4 linked regions of the Arabidopsis thaliana genome follow. The protein of the gene in region 3 interacts with the protein of the main gene of each other region in a biochemical or structural test. Each region holds a gene or a part of one and is shown on either strand. Other genes may lie near its edges.

Region 1 (5,735 bases), on a different chromosome or scaffold from region 3:
TATATCTAAAATAATTAGTGACATATGAGTATATAACTCTAGTATTGTTTTTGTTGTTGAATCTGCATTATATTGGAGCTCATATCTAATCTTTTTTAACTACATCAAAAGCTGTGAATGGTTTATAAGTGATAATTGGTTCCTTACATGTAAACGGTTAAGTTTGCCTAACTTAGTTCCAATTATTGGTGTCACCTTTGATGTTTAGATTTTATATCATATGATCAGTGAACCTAAATAGTAGATGCTTAATATTATGAAGATTGGATTGGACAGTGTGCTTTATAAAATGAGGGACACCAAAATCATGTATTTCATTAGAAGGGAAGGACCAACTGGCTCATAGCAAATTGAATGAATACGGAGACTGCTTTGATATTCCAGTGGGTGTATGGTCCAAAGTCCAAACCCATAAACACATGGCTTTATTGGACTTGTGGGCTTGGAATACAAAATGATTTCTCATAGAAAGTGTACTTATAGTAATCTACTTGCTTAAACCCCTAAACACATGTTAATAACTTAAACCGCAGTGAGTTCAAAATACTGTTTGGTTCAGCTTTTACGGTTTATGAGTTGGATTTTACTGACGAAATATTAAAATTTTAAGAACTCAAAGATTGTTATCTTTGCATAAAAACTACACAAAGTAGATAGATAAATACACTAACCAAAAGCTTGCAGTAGATAAAAACGAAGTCATAAGTAAATATGCTTCAGAGAAAAGCAAAAAAAGGGAGAGCGAGAGAGAGATTTATCACACAATGCTTCATCTTCTTCTTCTACTAAAACGTTTTACGCAATCTTGATTTTTTCAACGTCCATCCACAGAAGTGAACGAGTCAGCAAATCCAGATGGGCGAGTTGGGATACTTGTCTGCGTATTGTCTTTGCTTCCATAAGCCGAAGACGAAGATCCCGAGTCATCCGCGGTCTGGCTTAGTCCCTCGAAAGCTTGCCATTTCTTAAGCACCTGCGGAAGCGGCATATCGTAGTCTATCCCATAGACGTCATCAGGGTCGGTCTCAGTTGGTTTCCATTGGACGGTGAGTGAAGAAAGGACGTTAACGATGTGAGCCATGTCAGGTCTTTGGTAAGGCTCACGGGCACAGCAATGACCAGCAAGCTCCCAGACTTTTTCAATACTGGCTACGGTATCGTCGTCGAGGCTGATGTTTGGGTCTATTGCGTTTTTGAAGGCATTTTCGTCTTTGCTGGCTGCTACCCGACGGAACCATGTGACTAGATGGACGCTGTCTTCGGGTTGCGTCTCGTCTAGGGCTTTACGACCAGTGATTAGCTCCATAAGTATGACCCCAAGGCTGAAAATGTCTACCTTGGTCGTCACTCTTCCCGTCACTGCCAAAATCAGAGTATAGAACAATTGCCAAACGATCAAAGGATGAAACTATAACATTTAGGAAAATGCAATAAGATCAAAGCATGAAAATTTAAGTGCAAAACGGCCAAAGTATGAAACTTTGACACTGGGCAAGTGCAAATCAATTGAAAGGCAGAGACTTTAAAATTTGGGTAAGTACAAACCTGCGTATTCTGGGGCAAGGTATCCGAAAGTCCCAGCTACTCGAGTCTCAATGGAGTATTTGCCATCAGGGGCTAAACGTACTAACCCAAAGTCAGAGACTTTAGCGCGCATATCATCACCAAGAAGGATGTTTGATGGCTTTAGATCCCTATGGATAAAGCTCTGATGCGCAAGTGTGTGCAGATACTCGACACCTCGAGCTACATCCAATGCAATCGCCAGCCGTCTAGTCCAGTCTAACGGTTTTCGCCCTTCCTCTTTCCAGTGGAACAAATGCTGACTTAGTGTCCCCTGTGGCATGTACTCGTAGACAAGAAGCCTCTCGTTCCCGTCAAGGCAGTAACCGAGAAGCGCAACGAGATGACGATGACGCATTTTAGTCAGAACAGTGATCTCAGATTTAAACTCAGTAAGTCCCTTATCACTCACAACCGAAGACTCCATTCTCTTCACAGCTATTTTTGTTCCATCGTGGAGTTCGCCTTTGTAAACTGTCCCGAAACCACCTCTCCCGAGAATATTCTCTTCGCTGAAGTTATTCGTCACATTCCTCAAGACCTGTATCGATATAACCAAGTTCCCAGCTTCAACAACGTGAATATCACTCGCTGCACTTCCGCTGTGACTGTAGCTATCACTTCCTCCACCACTGTTAAGACTAGAAGCTGCAACAGTGAGTTTAATGTCATCGTTGTCACCCGAATGATGCGGATGAATAACCATGTTGCTGCTTGGACTTTGAACTCTAGCAGGTCGCTTCCTTTTCTTCGCATAAAGACACACACCAAGCCCAACCAAACACAATGCACCAACAACCCCACCAACCACAGGAACAATAATCTTGACATTGCTTGATTTCTTAGAAGTTTCACTGCCATCACTTCCTCCTGAAGGTTTACTTCCTGGTGAAGCTCCAGGAGCATCACTCGTTTTGTTAGGTCCATTCTTCCCCATGTTAGCGTTCCCTTCAGTCACCAAAGTCACAGTATCCCGAAACTTTGGCGGTATTCCATAAAAATCGTTGTTAGACACATCAAGTAACCTAAGCTTAGACAATGTGGTAAGCTCATCAGGTATATGCCCGGAGAGTTTATTATCAGCAAGATTGATAGTCTCCAATGAAGTAAGCTTAGCTAAACTCGGAGAAATCGTACCCGAGAGATCCTGTTTCCTCATATTAACAACCGTAATGTTACCTCCAGAACAAGTAATCCCAACCCAGTTAACACAAGGATTGTTTCCTTTCCAACTTTCCGCAAGCTTCACTGGATATCCAAATGATTCAGCTACAGATACCAAAGTATCCACACGAGGATCACAAGCCTCACCAGCTACATTAGTACAAAAGCTATTCATGTTGTTGACTATATCAACACCAACGGATTTGCCAAACAACGGAGTCGGTCCTTGAAGATAATTATTAGTTAAATTCACAGTAGTAAGCGAACTCAAACTAACCAAAGACTGTGGAACAACACCAGTGAGCTGATTCTCTCTAACATTAAACACACGTAGAGATACCAAACCAGAGAGATCAGGAATTGGACCTGAGAACTGATTTCCTTGAAGAGAAACCTCAACGAGCGAAGTCATGTTCCCCAATACCGAGATCGATCCATTAAGCTTCTGACCATTCAAGAACAGAGACTGAATCGAAGTACCAGCAAAACTCATCGGTAACTCTCCTTCTAAACCATTCTGAGATAGTTTCAGATTCGTCAAGCTCGGAAGTGACTGAGAACCGAAGAAATCTGGGATCTTTCCAATAATGCTGCAATTGGAGAGAGTTAGATTCTGCAGAGACGTAGCTTCTTTAACGGTGTCTGGAATTACCCAAGGATCAAACGGATTGTTCTCGAGATACATTTCTTGAAGAGAACTCATACCAGAGAAGAGATTCTTCGGTACAGAGGTAAAAAGATTGTCGTGTAGATTCAGAGTCTGTAAACGAGATAAGCCAGAGAGATCAGGAATAGGACCAGAGATACGATTGAGAAAAAGCTCGAGAATAACCAATTCAGAGAGACTCTGAAGATTAGTAGGAAGAGTTCCACGAATCCCTTTTTGTTTAAGCTGAATCTTAGTAACACGATTACTTCCATCGCATTGAACAGATTGCCATTTACAAGGGTTAGGGTTAGACCAATCGACGTCTGATGTAAGATTCAGACTTGATTTGAGAGATTGCATAGTCGAATCATCGAGACCGGTTTGAGAAAGTGAGAAATTGGCCAAACCCAGTAAAGAGATGATGAAACAGAGAGTACCCAAATGGGAATTTGACATTTTTTGTTGGAGAAAGAAACAGAGTGGAGGAGGTTAAAGGTGTCGCCTTTGAGAATTCTGAGTCTAGGGTTTTAGGGAGGCATTGAAGAAGAAGAAGAAGAAAAGGTTTACAGAGAGGAAAGGGAAAGACGAAGGAATCGGCGGAGATCGAGGAAGATAGAGAGACGAAGAAGATTAAAGGTAAGAGGATCATAAAAGCATTGCCTTTTTATTTATTATTCTCATTCAAATGAAATATTTATTCTTCTGTAATAAAATGGATGAACCATAATTAATAAAAATGCATACTTTAAGTTTTGCTTGTGTAGAGTGTGTGTGTGTGTGTGAATACAGCTGGCAAGGTGGCATAATTAGTGGTGAAAAACAATAGTGAAAATCGCCGAATAATCCATAATTATGAATAATGAGATTATCTACTAATTGTGTTTATAACTTTATATTAAAAAAAAATCAGAATTAGGAATAAGATACAAATTTTATGACATTTAGATGTTTTCAGTTTAGGTGAATATATTATTAACATTTGTAAAGTTTGTAAATAAAAATCACGTTTGAAATATTTTATTTATATATTCAATTAGAGAATTTTACTTTTTAGGAAGTTTTAACAATTGATTTGTGTCAAAATTGGTAATAATAAAAGTAATATCTCTATGATTGAGTGTATTTCGGCATTTTTCGGACTAAACTGCTAATAATATCGATTGTCTTTCCTAAATTTTTAAAATATTTTATTTTGTAATAGATCTTGGATTTTTGTTCACATTATTTCCATTTGCTTCTATAAAAAAAGGATATTATTTCCTCCTTATGAATATTTGTGGGACGAATACAATACGTGGAAACTTATCTGTATTTCTTAGAATAGAAAAAGCATTTAATACGGTGACGGTGGTTACCTATTGTTTAGGGTCAAAGATTAGTCGAAAATTGAAATTTCATCGTAACGTGCTAAAGACAGTTTAAGATTACACCGTTTTATTTAATTCATTTTTTGACTCATTGTGTCACGACTTCGTGAGTAATTATATACTTTGAATAAAAAAAATTAAAAGATTAATGAGTACTTTGCATTGCATGGTCTTAATCTTCTCATGACTAATTTTGACCAAACAAGATAAATGTGATTTTTTTGCAGTCCCGACAAAAAAGTTTTTAACTGTAAAAGACAGACGCCGTGAAATCCGGAGCATATTAGCCACGCATTAATCTTCATTCGGCTGATTTTTTAACGGTCGTTATCTTACGCCGTTTACCACAATTTTTAATGTTTGTTAGGTTGGAGAGTTATTATTATTACTTACCAGTTTCACTCTAACCTAGAACTATTCTTCTTCTTATGGTATTGAATGTCTGTTTTTATTCACTAGTAATAAATATTATAACTATACTATTTTAAAAATAGTTATAGTACGATATGTAGAAATTGGGACATGTATATTGTTGTTGTTAATCTTATAGAAAAATAGTAAAAGTAGCTAAAGATTGGTGTATTATACGCACCAACCATATACTATAAACTCGCACGAAATGTAGATCGAACACTTGTGTACGTAGAAAGATTACGTGACAACAACAACTAGTCCACTTTGCTGTTCGTTACGGTCACACATCAACCACATTTATTTCACTTACTTCTTTTTTCAATCATTTCTTAAATTCTCAATAATTCTAAAAATCAGATATTTGTCCAAACCTCTTTGGTGTAGTGGCACAAGGAAACTTTAACTCCTATACCTGAGTTTGATTTTTCATGAAAACAATAACAAATTTGTTTAGAAAGTCTCTCAGTTGTGATTTGGTCCAATTAATTTATTTGGTAGTTAGAAATGCAGACGGTATGATTATCCTTGGTATTAGTCGGAAGGCATTTCAAATTAGAACCTAACAGTGTGGTGATCCA
Region 2 (7,417 bases), on a different chromosome or scaffold from region 3:
TAGTTATTATGAGTTTTTAAATTTGTTATGTAGATATTGCATGTTCCTATATTTTATTCAGAAGCTATTGCTATAACATAACAGAATCTTCCTTATATGATGTGTAGAAAGACAAGGTAGGGAAGTAAAGATGCAGAGAACCGATCTTATGCAAACGAGAATGAGAACATAGTTGGTCCTGAAGCAGTGGTGGGGAATAGTGAAGGAGATTCAGATTATTGTTTTTGGATTCATAACTTCCACTATTTCCTGGCTTCCACAACATATATTAAACGAGTCATCATTATTCCCTTTTAACACAAGAACTAAAACAAGTATTTGGCTTCATCTCAATAAATCAATGTACAAAAATATTTAAGAAATTGAGGTCAATTTCTTTCATGAGTTTTCCTCTACACATTTAGACCTAACCACACCTCGATTGAAAACAGAAAGTTTTATTCTTTATCCTTTTACTCTAAAACAATATACATTTCAAATGTATTTACAGAGCTGACTCAAACAAATGAGAGAACACAACCTCACATCTCTGACAACAGATTACTGAGTTTCCGAAGCTCCTTAAGTGCTGTTGTAGCAGTGACTTGTCCCTTTTCGATCAAATTGGTTTTAGCAAAGTTCCCTATCAATCCTGCCTGAACCAGACTAGGTTCTTGTTGGAAAACCAACTCAACTGCCTGAATATAAAATAGACTAAAATCATCAGAACATTTGAGCTTGTAAGGCGGAGAAGAATTGTCATGGAAATGGCTAAATATCTTTGTTACAATAATCCTATACCACTAGAGGCAAGAAACTAACATACTCATACTTGTTACCTTCAGAACCATACGAAAAATACTTCTACCAGTTTGATGAATATGAGAACTGAGAAGTTACCTGAATGTGTTAGAGCATGGACTGGCCAAGGTTCTTCAGAGTCCTCATCAGATTCTGATTTGAGTCTCCATTGCTGCAAGAAGATAAAGCTTGGGGGTGGGACTCAGAATGGCAACCGATTTGGTTCTTTTTAATTTCAACATCACTGGTCTTTGTGGCATCAGAAGCTTTTCTATCTGAAGTCTCCTCACTTGACAAAGTGTGTTTAAGCTTCCGGAACCACTGGACTATTCCATGTAAAAGGTTGTGCTCCTTAGTAATGCCCACAGATTTATCTGTAGAGTTGACTGCATCAGGCTGAGTTACTGGATACTCATTTCTCGTATGGGGAGATACAGAAAGAGGTGAATTTACACTTGTTTGTTGACCTTTATCGTTTTCTGAACCGGTACATCAATCTAAATCATTTCCACTGTAATTTGACCTATGTAACATACTGAACCCGCCAGATTTTAATTTTGTACGTTTTCTCTAAAGGTTTTTGCATGGAAGCTTTATGATCTCAGGCTTGTCCTTGCTTCTTATATGAAAGCTATATCAAAGTTAGTTTTCTATATAAACTAGCTTTACTTTACAGTATAACCATGCTTTACTTTACCATATGTACTCTCTTTGTGACCATCTTCTTCCTTATATCTACCTTACTAAGCCAGTCCCATACTCACAGGTTATGTATTAATGTTTTTATCAGAACAATAGAGCTCAATTGAAGGGTATCAGAACAATATTTTTTCTTCTTGTCCATTAAAGAATGTTTGTATATATGTAGCTCAAGAATTAAAGTGTCGATCAGAAAGTAAACAATGTATAAAAGAACTTACCGTTACTAAGATTTAAGGCAAAAAAAAAAACAATTCAATTATACCCAACCTTTCTTCTCTTCTTAATCACAAATCATTTTTATTTCATAGCTCACATAATTTTCCAAATGCTTTTAAACTGAGATGCATTACCTCGGTTGAGGAAGCACCCCCGGGTCAACAGTCATGGACACGTTCATCTCCGTCGGCTCGCTAAAAGAAATATCTCCAGAATCACCACTGGTTCTTGCTCTGCATAGACTCTCTTTTAGCTCAGCCACAACCTGACTCATCGTGAGTCTTGTCTTAGTACTTTCAGACGCACAAGCCAATGCTACTTCAGTGATCTTCCAGGCCAAGCCAGCGTTGAACCTCTCTCCTAGCTTCGGATCCACAATGCTTTTGATATCTCCTTTAGACAGCATCAAGCTAACTCGGTCGCTTATATGTCTGTTCTCTTCAGTCCTTGAACGTGAAATTACCGGTTGGCCCGTGATTACCTCCAGGAGTACCACCCCAAAGCTATAAACATCACTCTTCTCGCTGAATTGCTGCATCGAGTAGTGCCTTCATTTCAAATAACCATAGAGTAGAGAAACAAATGAATATAGACAACAACAAAAATAGCTGAGATTTGAGGTTCGAAGAGAAAAGCTTTACTCAGGGTCAAGATAGCCAATAGTTCCAGCGACTTCAGTTGAAACCTGACTGTCACCTTCCAGTGTGAAGCTTCTAGATAAACCGAAGTCAGCGATCTTGGCCTGGAGCTTTTCGTTGATTAGAATGTTCGTAGGTTTCACATCTCTGTGAACTATAGGAGGTTTGCATCCATTGTGGAGATACTCTAGCCCTGTTTTTTTCAAGCAAACCAAAGTTTTATTGATTTTCTCATTCTATTTTTATATGTAATTTTGAGATACAGTAATGGTGTACCTTGTGCTGCATCTAATGATATCTGTAACCTTTCCTCCCAGCTCAAAATACTCGAGTTTTTCCCTTAATTATAGAAAACGACAATCAGATTAAGTTCTTCTGATTATAACAAAGACAAGTGACCAAAAATTGACTACATGAGGCTGACCTGACAAGTAGTCTCCCAAGGTCCCATTACCGATATACTCGTAGATAAGTGCCATTTGATCTCCTTCGTGGCAGTATCCAATAAGAGCTATTAGGTTCTTGTGATGAACTCTCAGGAGAAGTTCAACCTGACAATCAAAAAGTCCATGTCTCTCTCAGAATAGTTCACTTTTCATCTGGACTGAACCTTTAAGACTATATGAGAGTAACCTCTGCTCGGAATTCTTTGTAGCCTTGAGCTGATGATTTAGACAACATCTTGATAGCAACTTGTTCCCCACGTAAGACACCATAGTATACTTTTCCGAAGCCTCCTTGGCCAAGAACTCTCTCAAAGTTGTTTGTAATTTCCACTATTTCTGAATACTTGTAGTATCGCTTTGTGTCTAGTGGTCCGGTCTTGACACCTGCTAAGAGATCAATGAGAAATTATTTTCATCAAAAGTCTTGGAAAAAATAAGCAATTTTAACAGGTGTTTTATGATTCACCCACTTTGTTGTCTCTTCTTGAATTGCCAGAAAGAAATTAATGCGAGCAAGAGAAAAAACAATCCTGTAACAGATGCTACTGATGGAATAATGTATTCTTTCCTCTCCGTCTTTTTGTTTCGACATGAATCAGACACGCAAAGGTCTGGATTCCCGCCAACTCTAATGATTAAAATTCAGAAACGTTATGTGAAGAACAAACCATTAATACATGCCAAATTGAACTGTTTCAAATCAACAAATGTGGGATGAGTTCAAAATCTTATCAAGAACCAACCTCAGAGAAAGCGATCCATCTTTTGATCTCTCCAATAGTTTCTCCGGGAGGATACCCGTTAACTTGTTTTCTTCCAAGTTTCTGCAGAAACATGTGTGGAATCCATAAATATTAGTAAAAGATACCAACGTTTTTCTAATATGAAAATTCAGTTGGGATGACTTACAACTCGGTTAAATCCGGTAAATTAGCAAGGAAATCAGGTACTGTTCCTGTTAATCTGTTATTTGATAAGTCTCTGTAATGAAATGTTTTGGTTGTGTTAGTTAGGCTTCAAAAACTCTGTGTACTATAAATTGCAAAAAATAAAATAAAATAAAAAACTGACAGTTTCTGTAATGGTGTAAGGGTGATGAAGACTGGATCAATCTGGCCAGTCAATCCACTAAAGGATAGGTTCCTGCAAATCACACATTTGTTGCTTTGAGGACAGAAACATATAGTACTGAGATATATGCTATTCAACAAATTCTTACACAGAAATGATTCTCGGAGGATTGTTAGCGGTGTAGCTACAATTAATACCCTGCCAAGGATAGCCAAATGGAGCACAAGGATCTCCGAGCCAGTTCTTCTTCACTTTATACTTGGTCTTTATTTTCATAATTGCATCAACTACAATTCATACTAAACAGACTAAGTAGAGAGCTAAGTATATTAAGTGAGGCAAGTTCTAATTCTGAATATGTAACCTTACCATCATTTTGATCAGTAGGCAAATCAAGAAACTCGTTGGTACGATATGTCTCGATGGCATTCATGATAGGAGGACGCGTGGACTTAACACCTTGTCTAAGAACAAATTCGAGAAATGGTCCGCTCACGGGGTTTTGAACGTAAAGTGTATCTGTATACAAGTAGCTAGGCCTAAACACACTAGTAGTGTCGATCTGCTCTTTGTTCAGAAACACAGAGAACTCCCTTGTCTCATTACTTGGAAGTTTCTCAACTTCAGCAAAGTGTATGTATATATAGAATTTCCAATTTGGGTCCCGTGGTTCCCAATAAACCATTATCTGCTCTATGCTGGAATTCATTGGTGCTACTGCAGTGCTCATGACAACACTAGGGGGTAAGAATCCGTTGCTGCTAGTCGGATCTATCATCAGCGACGTATTGAGGATCAAAAAGTTCGGAAACATCAACGGCATCCAGAAGCGGTCAAAAATATCGTCTTTGTACCTATATTATTAGAGAAACGTAAGGCAAAACAGAAATAATCAGAGTGTATAAACGGTTAATTAATTTTTAACCTGGCAGGAAGATCTCCGGTTGCACCAAGATCCCATCTTCGATACAGCATAAGAGAATCAGAAGCAGTCTCGTATATATTATTTTTCAGGAGCCTGAGTTCTAAGACAGACAAGAATGGAGTTCCTCTTTCTTTATCAACAAGACACACATGAACCTTGTCCGAGCGAAGAGTGTAGATGATCTCTTTGGTGACTATAGTAGTTGAATTCTCAAGAGTAACAGAATCCCAGAGATTGACACCAAGATAAAGATCGAAGTCGGGTGCTTTCCCTAGATTATCGTAGTTACCGTACATGAAACGGGTTCTTATCAGATACTTGAAGCCTTTTCCCTGAGGAGGCTGCACATCGTAACAGTTTTTCTTGCCTTCAGGGAAGCTCCTAACCTTTTGGAACTGTTTCTCAAGATTTTTTTTCTGAAACTTAGAATCTATGCTATGAATTGTCCCGGACTCGACAAATGCAGCATCTGAAATGTATTTTATGTCTGTTTTCTCATCGTAATAACTGGAATCTTCTGGTATACCACAATCTATACTAACAAAACCTGTAAAGCACACGCACATGAAAGCCTTTTACAAAGTATATATAGACGTATTCAATATCTTTAAGGAACTAAATCATTGTCTAAACTCTACCTGATTGGTCTTGAGCACAAACAAGAACAAGGACAACAACAAAGCTTGCGAAAGAAACTAGCGGAAGAAAGTTGAAATTCCCCATCAGTCACAATTCTCAATCAATTTCTCATAGATTCAAACTAAACCTTATATATGAAAAGCTTGTTATTTTCAGTCATTCAATAGGCATGTTGCCAACATGTGAACCACCTTCCCTGAAAGCATATATATACTATAAGCCAAAAGGGTATTTTGTGATTTTATAAGAGTTTCTTCAATATAATGTCAACGACTTACGAAAGTGTATTCACAACAATTTCCAAACCGGAAAAGTGGTGGGGAATAGTGAAGGAGATTCAGATTATTGTTTTTGGATTCATAACTTCCACTATTTCCTGGCTTCCACAACATATATTAAACGAGTCATCATTATTCCCTTTTAACACAAGAACTAAAACAAGTATTTGGCTTCATCTCAATAAATCAATGTACAAAAATATTTAAGAAATTGAGGTCAATTTCTTTCATGAGTTTTCCTCTACACATTTAGACCTAACCACACCTCGATTGAAAACAGAAAGTTTTATTCTTTATCCTTTTACTCTAAAACAATATACATTTCATAATGTATTTACAGAGCTGACTCAAACAAATGTAAAACAATATACATTTCATAATGTATTTACAGAGCTGACTCAAACAAATGAGAGAACACAACCTCACATCTCTGACAACAGATTACTGAGTTTCCGAAGCTCCTTAAGTGCTGTTGTAGCAGTGACTTGTCCCTTTTCGATCAAATTGGTTTTAGCTAAGTTCCCTATCAATCCTGCCGGAACCAGACAAGGTTCTTGTTGGAAAACCAACTCAATTGCCTGAAAATAAAATAGACTAAAATCATCAGAACATTTGAGCTTGTAAGGCGGTAAAGAATTGTCATGGAAATGGCAAAATATCTTTGTTACAATAATCCTTTACCACTGGAGGCAAGAAACTAACTTACTAGTTACCTTCAGGACCATACGAAAGATACATTTACCAGTTCGATAACCCATTTTACTGTCTTTGTACTTATCTTTTTATAAATGCTGGTAACCGCTGAAACACGATGAATATGAGAACTGAGAAGTTACCTCAATGTGTTTGAGCATGGACTGGCCAAGGTTCTTCAGAGTCTTCCTCAGATTCTGACTTGAGTCTCCAGAAGACAAAGCTTGGGGGTGGGATTCAGAATAGCAACCTATTTGGTTCTTTTTAATTTTAACATCATTGGTCTTTGTGGCATCAGAAGCTTTTCTATGAGAAGTCTCCTCACTTGACAAAGTGCGTTTAAGCTTCCGAAACCACTGAACTATTCCATGTAAAAGCTTGTACTCTTTAGTTATGCCCACAGATTTATCGGTGGAGACGTCTTCATCAGACTGAGTTACTGGATACTCATTTCTCCTATGGGGAGATACAGAAAGAGGTGAATTTACACTTGTTTGTTGATCTTTATCGTTTTCCGAACCGGTACAGCAATCTAAATATTTTCCACTGTAATTTGAATCTATGGCAGGACTGATTGGATCAGAGGAGACAGATGAATTCTCTTCACTAATTGAAACTATGCTTTTGTCGTCTTCATCGGGAAGCAAATTTGAGCCAGCACTGCTAACTGAATCGTTTTCAATTTTGGTTGAACATCTGACAGGACTGGTTGGGTCTAAGGAGACGAATGAACTCTCCTCACTTGGTGAACTTCCACTTACTATACTCTCTTCATCTGCAGAATGGAATTCCATAATGTTTTCCTCAGTTTCTTGAGGATGAATGTTCTCCTTGTTCACAGTCACATGACAATCAACATTGAGCTGCTCAGACGAATCTTCAAGCAAACTTTGTGTCACTGGAGATGAGTTTGCTTTCCGTTCCCCAATTCCTAACTTATGATGTGATAGATCAATCACTGCTCGGAAAAGTTTTGTCACATTCAACCACCTCTTTTTCTTCTGTGTAGGAGGAGTCTGTTTCTCCAAA
Region 3 (5,389 bases):
ATGTTCTATTGTGGATGAAATATCCTTATATACCGTTTGCTTTCAATTGCAAAATTCTGCAGATGAATTGGCTGGTTTTGAACAGTCTTGGAGTGGAAATGCTAGAAGGCAAATGCAGTTACCCAGTCGCTCTGGTTCATTTGGAAGTAAGCAGTCCTATTACACGGTCAAGTTTTCGTGTTGTACGTTTCTTTGTGAACAAAGATAAATCATCTCTTTGATGTTCTTGCAGGTGGTCTTGTGAACAGAGAGCAACCAATGTTACTTCCCTCGACTGATCCAAGTCCTTCTCATGCACGAGCAGAATCATCCCGAAGACCGAAAGCTGCAATGAATGTAAGAGGACATGGTACAAACTAATCTCCGCCTATATGTATGGTTTCGAAAATCTTTAGTGAATGTAACCAAAGACTAATTACTTTACTTAGGTTGCATCATCATTACTGTAACTGTATGATGACATGATTTGAGGGTTTTAAACACTGCTCCTTGATGATTATTATATATGTATCTTTTGTTACATTAATCAGTTCTTCGTTGCTTATAATCATATAGCTAACTGATTAAAGCTTCAATTCTCAGCTACAAATCTAAATAAAATATAAACCGGACCCGGTTCTTACTGGAGAGAACTAAAACAAACAAAACCAATTGGTGGGACACAGCTAACCGGAGAATCATACTTGCACAAAGATACTAATTAAAAAGCAGAGTCATTCACTCTTCATACAGTTTATATTCTCAAGCAATGTCTCTATATTAGGCCTATTGTTTGGTATCTCCTGTGTACAGCTTATCCCAATCCTCGCCATTGCAGTCGCCTCTGGTTTATCAAACTCTTCACGAAGATCTTCATCGATGAACCCGTTATGTTCTCCATTTTCAGCTGCATTTCTCAGTGAACTTGTAAGCATGAGCTTACCAGAGAGTATCTGGAGAATGATGACTCCAAAGGCGAAAATATCGGTTTTCTCGGTGAATTTTCCGGTTGTGACGTATTCCGGAGCTAAATATCCCATTGCTGCACTTGTTTTGAGTGCTGAGAAGACCATATCGTCTGCTAGAAGGTTGTGAAGACCCGAATCAGCGATTAACGGGTTAAATTGTTCATCAAGTAGGATTTTTTCGACAGAGATGTTTCGATGAACTATTGTAGGCTTCTTCTGTTGATCACTTCCATGTAAGTAAGCAATACCTGCAAGAAATTTGTGTATTAAATACATTTTGTTCCTTGAACTCAAAGAAGTGATATTTCAAATACTTAACCTTTTGCAATCCCTTTGATGATGGAGATTCTTGCAGACCAAGCAAGGACCAGATTAGTTTCGCGTTCTTGTAAGTCAAGAAAATTTGAAAGCTTTCCTTTTGAAGCAAAATCATAGATGAGGAAACACTCTCCTCTGCCTCTAGAACAGCAGAATCCACGTAGCTTCACTAAGTTTTCGTGTGACAACGAAGATAAAAGCTTTAAACCGTTCATGAATTCGACTTCTTCGTTCTTGCAACTGCTTATGTTGATGCTTCTGATAGCTACCGGAGAACCATCTCTGAGGACTCCTTTGAACACTGAGGTGAAGCTGTTTCTGCTCAATAGATTAGCTTCTGAGAAGCATTGGGTTGCTGATTCAATGTCTTCTAAGTTAAACCTGAAGCTACTATTTACAACAAAGAGATGAGGCTCTTGTGAAAACTCAGCTCCGTTTCTGCTATCACCTAGCGGATCCCATTCTTTAGTGTAGGCAAGACTCACTAAAGGCGATGCACGGAACTCTTTTTGTTGATCTGTGCTTAGTCTTCCCTCGGAAAACTCAGGTGTGTTACTGATCTTTTGCTTCCTTCTTCTGTAGCGAAAGAAGGTCAATATACCAGCACCAATCAATGTTATAGTGACGGTAATCACGCTTGAAATCAAAGCAACTTGTGGGAGTTTCGATGAGGATTTCTTGCAATGTGTTTGGTTGCAATGCTTTTGGAGATATACAGACTCGGGAATGTTGTGAAGAGCTGATTTATCAGTGTCTATTTCACCAGGAGGCTGCTTAAATTGTTCGATATTATTCGCATTATCGAAAGCAGAACAAGCTCTCAAAGAAGGAAAATCGATACCACATAACCCGGTGTTGTTCTCAAACTGGAAGCTCCCATTCAACTTCTTAAGACCTTTGAAGAAACATAACGAAGAAAAAACCGAGTCAAGAAACAGAGAGATAAGCTCTTACAAAGACGTTTCAAGAATCATTAACTCACCAGGAGGAACAAAGCCAGAGAGAGTATTGTTGCGCAAGTCAAGAGTGTCCAACTGAGGAATGTTGGCTAGGGTTTTTGGGATTAAACCTAACAGATTGTTGAAGCTTAAATCAAGCCTGCTTAACATACTCAAGTTTCCTAAAGTCCAAGGAACCTCTCCGGTTAGTTTGTTGTGTTGCAGAGACAACACATTAAGTTTCTTCAAGGATCCAATGTTCTTTGGTATCTTCCCTGTTAAACTGTTGCAACAAAGATCCATAACTGCAACAAAAGACACCACAAAACATTCAAATGGAAGATCGAGTAAACATTCAAGTGAAAGATCTGTGAAACATTATAAGATGCTAACCTTGCAAGCCAGCCATGGAGCCGATATCTGCCGGAATCTCACCAGAGAAGTTATTAACATTGAGATAAAGATCTGATAATTCAGTAAGATTTGTGATCTCTTGAGGTATCTCTCCAGAGAGACTATTGTAATGTAAGTAAAGACCTGACAAACATTTGAGCTCTGCAACCGCCGGAGACAATTTTCCGACCAAACGTTTCCCTTGTAATGATATGTTTGCGACTTTTAGATGCTGGTTACATGCAATTCCTTCGAAAGATCCGTCGCATGGATCGCCGTTAAACGTCCATGAACGGAGAAGCTTGTTTTCAGGGTCAAGCGACGATTTCAGCTCCATTAAAGCCTTCAGCTCTGCATTTCCTCGAACATTCGACGGAGTTGCAAGAAAGATTGAGAGAAGGATCAGTAACGTGGCACATAAGGTAACCATTCTTGAATTTTCTTGTCTCTCTGTTTAGAAATTACTGAGCTTTAGCTCATTTATCTATCTCTCTTATAGAGCAGAATAATCTGTTTTATAGAGCAGAGTAATAAAGGAACGAAATTTATAGAGCAGAGTACTCTGTTTTGTACTGGATTGGGAGCTATCTCTTTGTTAAACGAAGATAGTAACTTTTAGAGAGGGACCAATTTTGTGTCTGTTTCTCGGATTTGGAAAACTGTAACCTTCCACTCTCGTGAATGAAAAGTTATTCTGCAGAATTTTCTTGTTTTGGAGAGAAGAAGAGAAAGAAGCAGAACCTCAGCTGGTGAAAAGTGGGAAGACAACACAACGCATTGAATACACTGTCTGTGTGAGACAGAGACGTATACTGCTTTTGAAAAGGAAAGCCAAATCTTGATGACTTTTTTGGTGATTTTTAACAGTTAATGTTCACATTTGTTAGTGGGGATGTGATGTTATTAGGTGTTTGTTTATTTATTATGTCTATTGCTCGAGATCTTGGTTTATTTCACTTTCTTTGCATTGGTTTATGATTTAGACAGACTTTAAAACATTTTTAGTATATTTCTTCTATATCACAAATTCTATATAAAACAAAAATATGCTTTTTGGATAACCATTTTAGAAACAAACAGAACTCGGGCAAATCGCAAAATCATTTAGCTATTTGATCATAACTTAAGTTTACGAATAAAATCCATAGAACTTAATATCTATGTGTGGTGGTTATTATAAATGGTAAAATGGGTAAAAGTGTAGAGCGGCTTTAATGTGAGAAAACGATCTAACGAGTGAAGTTTATTTAAGTTCATGTTTGGCGATTGAGCACTTTGGCTTATAGTTCATAACTTTTGGAATCATTTCGAAACTTGGATCATCCTCTTCTTCTTTGTCAACACTCCACCTTCCCATTCCCTGCATGTGCCACGTGCACGTGTCTACTCCTGCATACACATACACATACACATATTCATATTTAGTCTCTTAAAACAAGTCTTTGGATGAGAATAGTACTGATTAAAGAATGTTTTTTTTAGATCCATATTTCTAATAGTGGTCTAATATGATTAGTTGATTATATATACTATAAAATATAGTATACTATAAAATATAGTATATATGGTCTAAATATAGTATTTAGTTAATGATGATATCGAGATTTAGAGGACAATTATTCCACTAACTCTCTTTTCTTTTCCTCTAATTATTTGTAGGCTATAAAGTAAATTGATAAAAGATTAGTTATAGAAATGCTATTTGTTGGTACATGTATTCTAACCTAATTGGGTTTAAGAACAAGACAGTTTGACTATAAGCAGAATCCAATGTGGACTGAAACATTCATCTTAATTAGATATTCTTAGATATACTCTTTGATTATATACAAACTTTTATCATATGTCCTATTATACTGATGAATCTTACTATGTGGACAAAACTTAATTCACACAATGAATAAAATTGGTGAAAATGATAACAAAAAACAAATTAGTGAAGTAATTAAGCACGTTAAAACTAAAAAACGAGACTAGTAGATTTGACGACGACGATCGAGTTCAATGTGAAAGCATAAAACCTTATCAACGGCTATAATTCAGATCTTGATTACTTCAAGGTTTTTTAGATGTATACAATAGTTTTAACAAAAAAAAAGATGTATACAATAGCAATCAGACAACTTTGATTTATCTTCAATCATTCGTCTTTTATTTTTTGGCATTTCAAGATGGAAGGAAGACTTTTGAAATACTTTTATCTTTTCGTTAACTACTTTGACCTTTTACTTGATTGTTTTACTAATAACTTTTGTCATTTTCTCCTTTTTCCCACGTCTTTTTGAATCTATATGATGTCTTTTAAAACTTTTGAAAATTTTATATTTAGTATGCATGCTTACTTACATAGTTACATGTATGAATGTTTTATCTAGAACTCTAGTCTCTAGAAGGATATCCACATTATGCTACAAAAGTAATATAAATATCGACCAAAATTTGTGTAGCCTATGTGTCAAGGTTCTGATTTACACTTGAAAATACGCAAATGAGTTCTAGATGATGGAAAAATGATACACTATATCTCGAATGTTTTTACAAAATTATTAGATAGAATTTATCTCTACGTCAAATTGAAATTTTTGACAACTTGTTGTTGCCTTTACAATTTTTATTAGCAAGATCAAGATTAGATCATTATGTATAAATTCTATTTACTCACTTTTCGTTTAATACGCAATGCCATAGAAGTGTCTTGTGATTAATTGAACCATCTCATACGTTCTACATTAAAAAGTTCTTACTTTTTACTTTTTAGTAGTGCTGTATTTTCACAGTTGTTTTTGTATGATT
Region 4 (5,947 bases), on a different chromosome or scaffold from region 3:
GGAATATCACTTTACGGAAATATTTTTGCGATGGATCTAATATTGTGACAGATTGGTTTCGAACATAAATCTCTTGTTACATGCTATTTGCCGAATTGCTAGAAAAATTTCCTTGCAAATATATAACATGTTCTTTTGTATTGAATTTGTGAGTTACATTCATTGCTATATACTTATATTGATGACATATACGTTATAATCGTTTGGAACAGATCTTTCAGCTATACATTATTATGTTGGTATGCTACGTGATACTCTTTTAACACCCAACAAGTAACAAATTTTTGTTTTCAATAAAGTAATATAATAAAGTCTTGCACTGATTTGAAAAAGTTGAGTTCATTTAGTATTTTTGACAGGTCTCACTCACTACAATATTCATCATCATTCCCTAATTTATGACAAACACAATTATTATCCAACCTAAAAAAATAAAACATTATATAGTTAGAATTAGAAATGATAAAGTTTTTTTTTTCCTTGTAGATCTTGCAGAGAGCCATGTGCATGGGGAATAAGCTTCACCTGGGTTTTTCTTATACACATATTAAAAAAAAAAAAAATCTCATAGAAAGTAATAACAATATAATAGTAAAAAACTAAAAATAAAAAGATAAAAGGACTTTAAATCATCATGATTCATGAGACAGCAACGAAAGATACATGTAGCATTTTGCTAAAAACAGACACATCAAATTTATAAAAATTTGCATATTAATTGTATCCACATATATTCATATTATATGTATTAAAACATTCATATAATATTAATATAATAATTATTTCATTATTTGTTTGTATATCTTTGTTGCGGACTTTCGGGTCGTTAGTCGAGACTTCTTTATGAAATTTTGTTTTGACAACTGTATGCTTTTTATAATAACTTTGATAGTAATTGATATATATTATACTGATATTTTATGCTTTTTTTTGTGTGTTATCTACGAATCATTTGCCAATCTTTTTCACAACTTTTGCACTCTTATGCCATTGACAGCCTAGAACCCTCGATGTGTGATCACTAAAATACAACCAATTAAATTGTTTAGTTATCATTTTGGTGAACTACCGAATATAGAATATATATAAGAAAATCGAACTTTCGCCTATAATTACTTTTTAACTTTTCAACTTTCAAGACATTAATTTTCTTCAATTACGTATTTAGAAATAAAAGGTTCAGAATGTGTAGCTGGCACAAGGATTCTACTCTTTGGTTAATTGAATTTAGTGATTTTACTTGCAAGTTACAACAACTATTACTTACTGTATTTCTTATTAAACAAATACCACTAAATAACCATGATTTGTGTTTTTTTCTTCTTCTTATGAAATTAGTGAACTGCATTTTTAATACTGTACTTCATTTTTCGTTTGTGATTTAAAAAATGGTTTGGATTATGAATTTTGACTTAACATAATAGTAATGTAAGTTCTGCGTATAAAATTCAACTCTGTTATGCTATTTATCCTATAAACATTATTTTGAAAATTACTCACACTAAAACACACCACTTATTTACGAAAATTTAACCATATTTTCTTGCTAATAAAGTAATAATCCCCTCTAATTTGAATTACATAACAAATTCACCCTTATAAACAACTTGTCTTTTTTTTTTTTGTGCGAATAAACAACTTGTCTAAAAATTAAAATCTCGTATATATACATAACTTACCAAGATACAAAAAAGCAAATTTGAGATATTTTTGGCAATTTAAACGATACATCTTTTACCAATGAAAAAGCAAAATTGAGATATTAATTGCTTTTCTATTTCACCATTTCGTTTGTGTGAAGCATTTGACAAAATCCAACTCACACTACGTAGTCAATATATCCACTACAACCTTTAATTATTTTCCAAATAAACGTTATCTCAATCCTATGATAAAAATTAAATAAATTAAAAAACTCCAAAATAAAATAAAAATAAAAATAAATATATCTAATCTGTTACCAAACTGTCATTGGCTTAGTGGGACAGACATCCCATGTGCAGTCTCCTTGGCTTCTGCTTCATAGTTTCATCTTCTTCCTTCTCTCTCAATGGCCCATCTTCCCATTTCCTAAAAGCTTCAAACTTTCTTCACATTTCTCTCTTTATCTCTCTGTTTCTTCTTCAATCCTCTGTTTCTTCAAGCTATGAAGAAAAGAAGAACCTTTCTTCTATTTTCATTTACCTTTCTTCTTCTTCTATCTCTTTCTAAAGCTGATTCTGATGGAGATCTCTCAGCGATGTTATCACTCAAGAAAAGCTTAAACCCACCCAGTTCTTTCGGTTGGTCTGACCCTGACCCATGTAAATGGACTCACATCGTTTGTACAGGAACAAAACGTGTGACCCGGATCCAAATCGGGCATTCGGGTCTTCAAGGTACACTTTCTCCTGATCTACGTAACTTATCAGAGCTTGAAAGACTTGAGCTTCAATGGAACAACATCTCTGGTCCTGTTCCTTCTTTAAGTGGTTTAGCTTCATTACAAGTCTTGATGTTAAGTAACAACAACTTTGATTCTATCCCTAGTGATGTCTTTCAAGGTTTAACTTCGTTACAATCTGTAGAAATTGATAACAATCCTTTTAAGAGTTGGGAGATTCCAGAGAGTTTGAGAAATGCTTCTGCTCTTCAGAATTTCTCTGCTAATTCGGCTAATGTTTCCGGTTCTTTACCCGGTTTTCTCGGACCGGATGAGTTTCCCGGTTTGTCGATTTTGCATTTGGCTTTCAACAACTTAGAAGGAGAGTTGCCTATGAGTTTAGCTGGCTCTCAGGTTCAGTCATTGTGGCTCAATGGTCAGAAACTAACCGGTGATATTACTGTTCTTCAGAACATGACTGGTTTAAAAGAGGTTTGGCTTCACTCCAACAAGTTTTCGGGTCCTTTACCGGACTTTTCGGGTCTTAAGGAGCTTGAGAGCTTGAGTTTGAGAGATAACTCCTTTACAGGTCCAGTTCCTGCGTCTTTGTTAAGTCTTGAGTCACTTAAAGTTGTGAACTTGACGAATAATCATCTACAAGGACCAGTGCCTGTGTTTAAGAGCTCTGTTTCAGTTGATTTGGATAAAGATTCTAACAGCTTTTGCTTGTCTAGTCCTGGTGAGTGTGATCCTAGAGTGAAGTCTTTGCTTTTGATAGCTAGTTCATTCGATTATCCGCCCCGGCTCGCTGAGAGTTGGAAAGGAAACGATCCTTGTACTAACTGGATTGGGATAGCTTGTAGCAATGGGAACATTACTGTTATCAGTCTTGAGAAAATGGAACTAACCGGGACGATTTCTCCCGAGTTTGGAGCGATCAAGTCGCTTCAAAGAATCATTCTTGGTATCAACAATCTTACTGGTATGATTCCTCAAGAGCTTACAACGTTACCTAATCTCAAAACACTCGATGTTTCGAGTAACAAGCTTTTCGGGAAGGTCCCGGGTTTTAGAAGCAATGTTGTTGTGAATACTAATGGTAATCCTGACATTGGAAAGGATAAAAGCTCTTTGTCTTCTCCTGGTTCTTCTTCGCCTTCAGGTGGTTCGGGTTCAGGTATCAACGGTGATAAAGACCGGAGAGGAATGAAGTCTTCGACTTTTATAGGAATCATTGTTGGTTCAGTTCTTGGAGGTTTGTTATCAATCTTCTTGATTGGTTTGTTAGTTTTCTGTTGGTACAAAAAGAGGCAGAAGAGATTCTCAGGAAGTGAGAGCTCAAATGCAGTAGTGGTGCATCCGCGACATTCGGGGTCTGACAATGAGAGTGTTAAGATTACAGTTGCGGGTTCAAGCGTAAGCGTTGGAGGGATAAGTGATACTTATACGCTTCCTGGTACAAGTGAGGTTGGAGATAATATTCAAATGGTGGAAGCAGGAAACATGCTGATATCAATCCAAGTGCTTCGTTCTGTGACTAACAACTTCAGTTCAGATAACATTCTTGGATCAGGAGGTTTCGGGGTTGTGTATAAAGGCGAGTTGCACGATGGAACGAAGATTGCGGTTAAGAGAATGGAGAATGGAGTTATTGCTGGTAAAGGCTTTGCGGAGTTTAAATCAGAGATTGCGGTTTTAACAAAGGTTAGGCATCGTCATTTGGTTACGCTTCTTGGTTATTGTTTGGATGGGAATGAGAAGTTACTTGTGTATGAGTATATGCCTCAAGGGACATTGAGTAGGCATTTGTTTGAGTGGTCAGAGGAAGGACTTAAGCCTCTGTTGTGGAAACAGAGATTGACTTTAGCTTTGGATGTTGCTAGAGGTGTGGAGTATCTCCATGGATTAGCTCACCAGAGCTTTATACACAGGGATCTTAAGCCTTCTAACATTCTTCTTGGGGATGATATGAGGGCGAAAGTTGCAGACTTTGGACTCGTTCGTCTCGCTCCTGAAGGAAAAGGATCGATTGAGACTAGAATCGCTGGAACATTTGGTTACTTGGCACCCGAATACGCAGGTTAGTTTGTTTCTTTATGATGATATGATTCAGTTTGTACTAAAGATTGTTTATTGATGATGATTGTGATCTTGTTTGTTGCAGTAACGGGTCGAGTGACAACGAAGGTCGATGTATACAGCTTCGGGGTAATCCTAATGGAACTCATAACGGGAAGAAAATCTCTAGACGAATCGCAACCAGAAGAAAGCATTCACTTGGTCTCTTGGTTCAAACGGATGTACATCAACAAAGAAGCATCATTCAAGAAAGCGATCGACACGACAATAGACCTAGACGAAGAAACCTTAGCCAGCGTTCACACTGTTGCTGAACTAGCAGGCCATTGCTGTGCCCGTGAGCCTTACCAGAGACCAGACATGGGACACGCAGTCAACATTCTGTCATCACTCGTTGAGCTATGGAAACCGTCGGATCAGAATCCAGAAGACATATATGGTATCGATCTCGACATGTCTTTACCTCAAGCACTTAAGAAATGGCAAGCTTATGAAGGAAGAAGTGATCTCGAATCTTCAACTTCATCACTTTTACCTAGCTTGGACAACACGCAGATGAGTATTCCCACTAGACCTTACGGATTCGCAGAGTCATTCACTTCAGTAGATGGACGATGAATGAGAGATTCCTTGAAACCCAGATTTGATTTTTCTCCTTTTGTATATTTGTGTTTCCTCTCCTCTTCTTCCCCTCACAATTCTTTCATGTTTCTTGTGATGCAAGTAACATTTAGGGCTTAATTTGGGTGTCTTAATATTATTTTGATGTTGAGTGTTTTATTTGTTGGTTTGTTGATTTAGAAAAGTTGACGTGTGTACTTCAAGTTTGTGGGAAATGGTAAATGACAGTGAGGTAGAGAGGTTGGCATTGGATCCATCTTCACATGGCTGTCTCTTTTGTTTGGATCTTCATTTTTTAAATATCTTTATAAATTGACATCAACTTGATCTCAACCAAAATGTTTTCTGTGAATTTAGTTTCGGACTTAATACCTAGTATTAATATATAAGTATTGGATTAAATTAGTATCTGGTGACACAGATTCACAACTTTTTTTTTTATCATGGTATCATGTAGGTAGAGTGTTGAACATTGTAATAGCATCCAAAGTAAATAAAACTTATTATAAAATGGATGATTAGGTATGGTTTCGGTTTTTAAAGAAATTTAAGTTTCAGATTTTGGCTAATATTCATTCATATCAAACTTGTATGTATTTTGGTTACATGAAAACGAGAAAAGGACAGTGTATTTTTAGAAATTATAAATCATCAAGATAACGTTTGGTAACAGTTCAACCAATTCAAAGAAATAAACAAAGTTTTGGTCAGGACTACAATAATTCGATTATATTTTTGTTTTGTTAGGCTGATTTTAAAACAAAATAGAAACCTTGGACTGGAAATCTAAAACATAATTATGTTAATATCGTTACACTTATCATCAATTTAAAGTTGTGTATAAATAAGTACAATTCAATACAGCACAGAGAACAGGGAGATAGT

The links.
Region 1: the proteins of AT4G22730 (region 3) and AT2G01820 form a complex in vitro, tested with the Arabidopsis thaliana proteins (one large-scale study listed by BioGRID).
Region 2: the proteins of AT4G22730 (region 3) and AT2G19230 form a complex in vitro, tested with the Arabidopsis thaliana proteins (one large-scale study listed by BioGRID).
Region 4: the proteins of AT4G22730 (region 3) and TMK1 form a complex in vitro, tested with the Arabidopsis thaliana proteins (one large-scale study listed by BioGRID).

The regions. Positions count from the first base shown.
Region 1 is NC_003071.7:356,850-362,584, forward strand, and holds AT2G01820 (Leucine-rich repeat protein kinase family protein), read right to left. Parts: upstream 4,076-5,735; 5' UTR 3,833-4,075; coding exon 1,546-3,832; intron 1,360-1,545; coding exon 815-1,359; 3' UTR 504-814; downstream 1-503. UniProt on the Arabidopsis thaliana protein: Involved in auxin signal transduction and cell expansion and proliferation regulation.
Region 2 is NC_003071.7:8,342,931-8,350,347, forward strand, and holds AT2G19230 (Leucine-rich repeat transmembrane protein kinase protein), read right to left. Parts: upstream 5,502-7,417; coding exon 5,417-5,501; intron 5,326-5,416; coding exon 4,779-5,325; intron 4,708-4,778; coding exon 4,223-4,707; intron 4,141-4,222; coding exon 4,002-4,140; intron 3,926-4,001; coding exon 3,854-3,925; intron 3,764-3,853; coding exon 3,692-3,763; intron 3,607-3,691; coding exon 3,526-3,606; intron 3,411-3,525; coding exon 3,253-3,410; intron 3,170-3,252; coding exon 2,970-3,169; intron 2,888-2,969; coding exon 2,761-2,887; intron 2,676-2,760; coding exon 2,613-2,675; intron 2,530-2,612; coding exon 2,340-2,529; intron 2,247-2,339; coding exon 1,833-2,246; coding exon of another isoform or gene 1,829-1,832; intron 1,199-1,828; coding exon 1,021-1,198; intron 953-1,020; coding exon 880-952; intron 819-879; coding exon 781-818; intron 678-780; coding exon 522-677; downstream 1-521. Other genes in the region: AT2G19240 (Ypt/Rab-GAP domain of gyp1p superfamily protein), read right to left, coding at 6,118-6,273, 6,532-7,417.
Region 3 is NC_003075.7:11,939,021-11,944,409, reverse strand, and holds AT4G22730 (Leucine-rich repeat protein kinase family protein), read right to left. Parts: upstream 3,410-5,389; 5' UTR 3,027-3,409; coding exon 2,597-3,026; intron 2,509-2,596; coding exon 2,248-2,508; exon of another isoform or gene 2,161-2,247; coding exon 1,267-2,160; coding exon of another isoform or gene 1,262-1,266; intron 1,196-1,261; coding exon 714-1,195; 3' UTR 525-713; downstream 1-524. Other genes in the region: AT4G22740 (glycine-rich protein), read left to right, coding at 63-146, 233-360.
Region 4 is NC_003070.9:24,629,357-24,635,303, forward strand, and holds TMK1 (transmembrane kinase 1), read left to right. Parts: upstream 1-1,981; 5' UTR 1,982-2,146; coding exon 2,147-4,442; intron 4,443-4,526; coding exon 4,527-5,059; 3' UTR 5,060-5,425; downstream 5,426-5,947.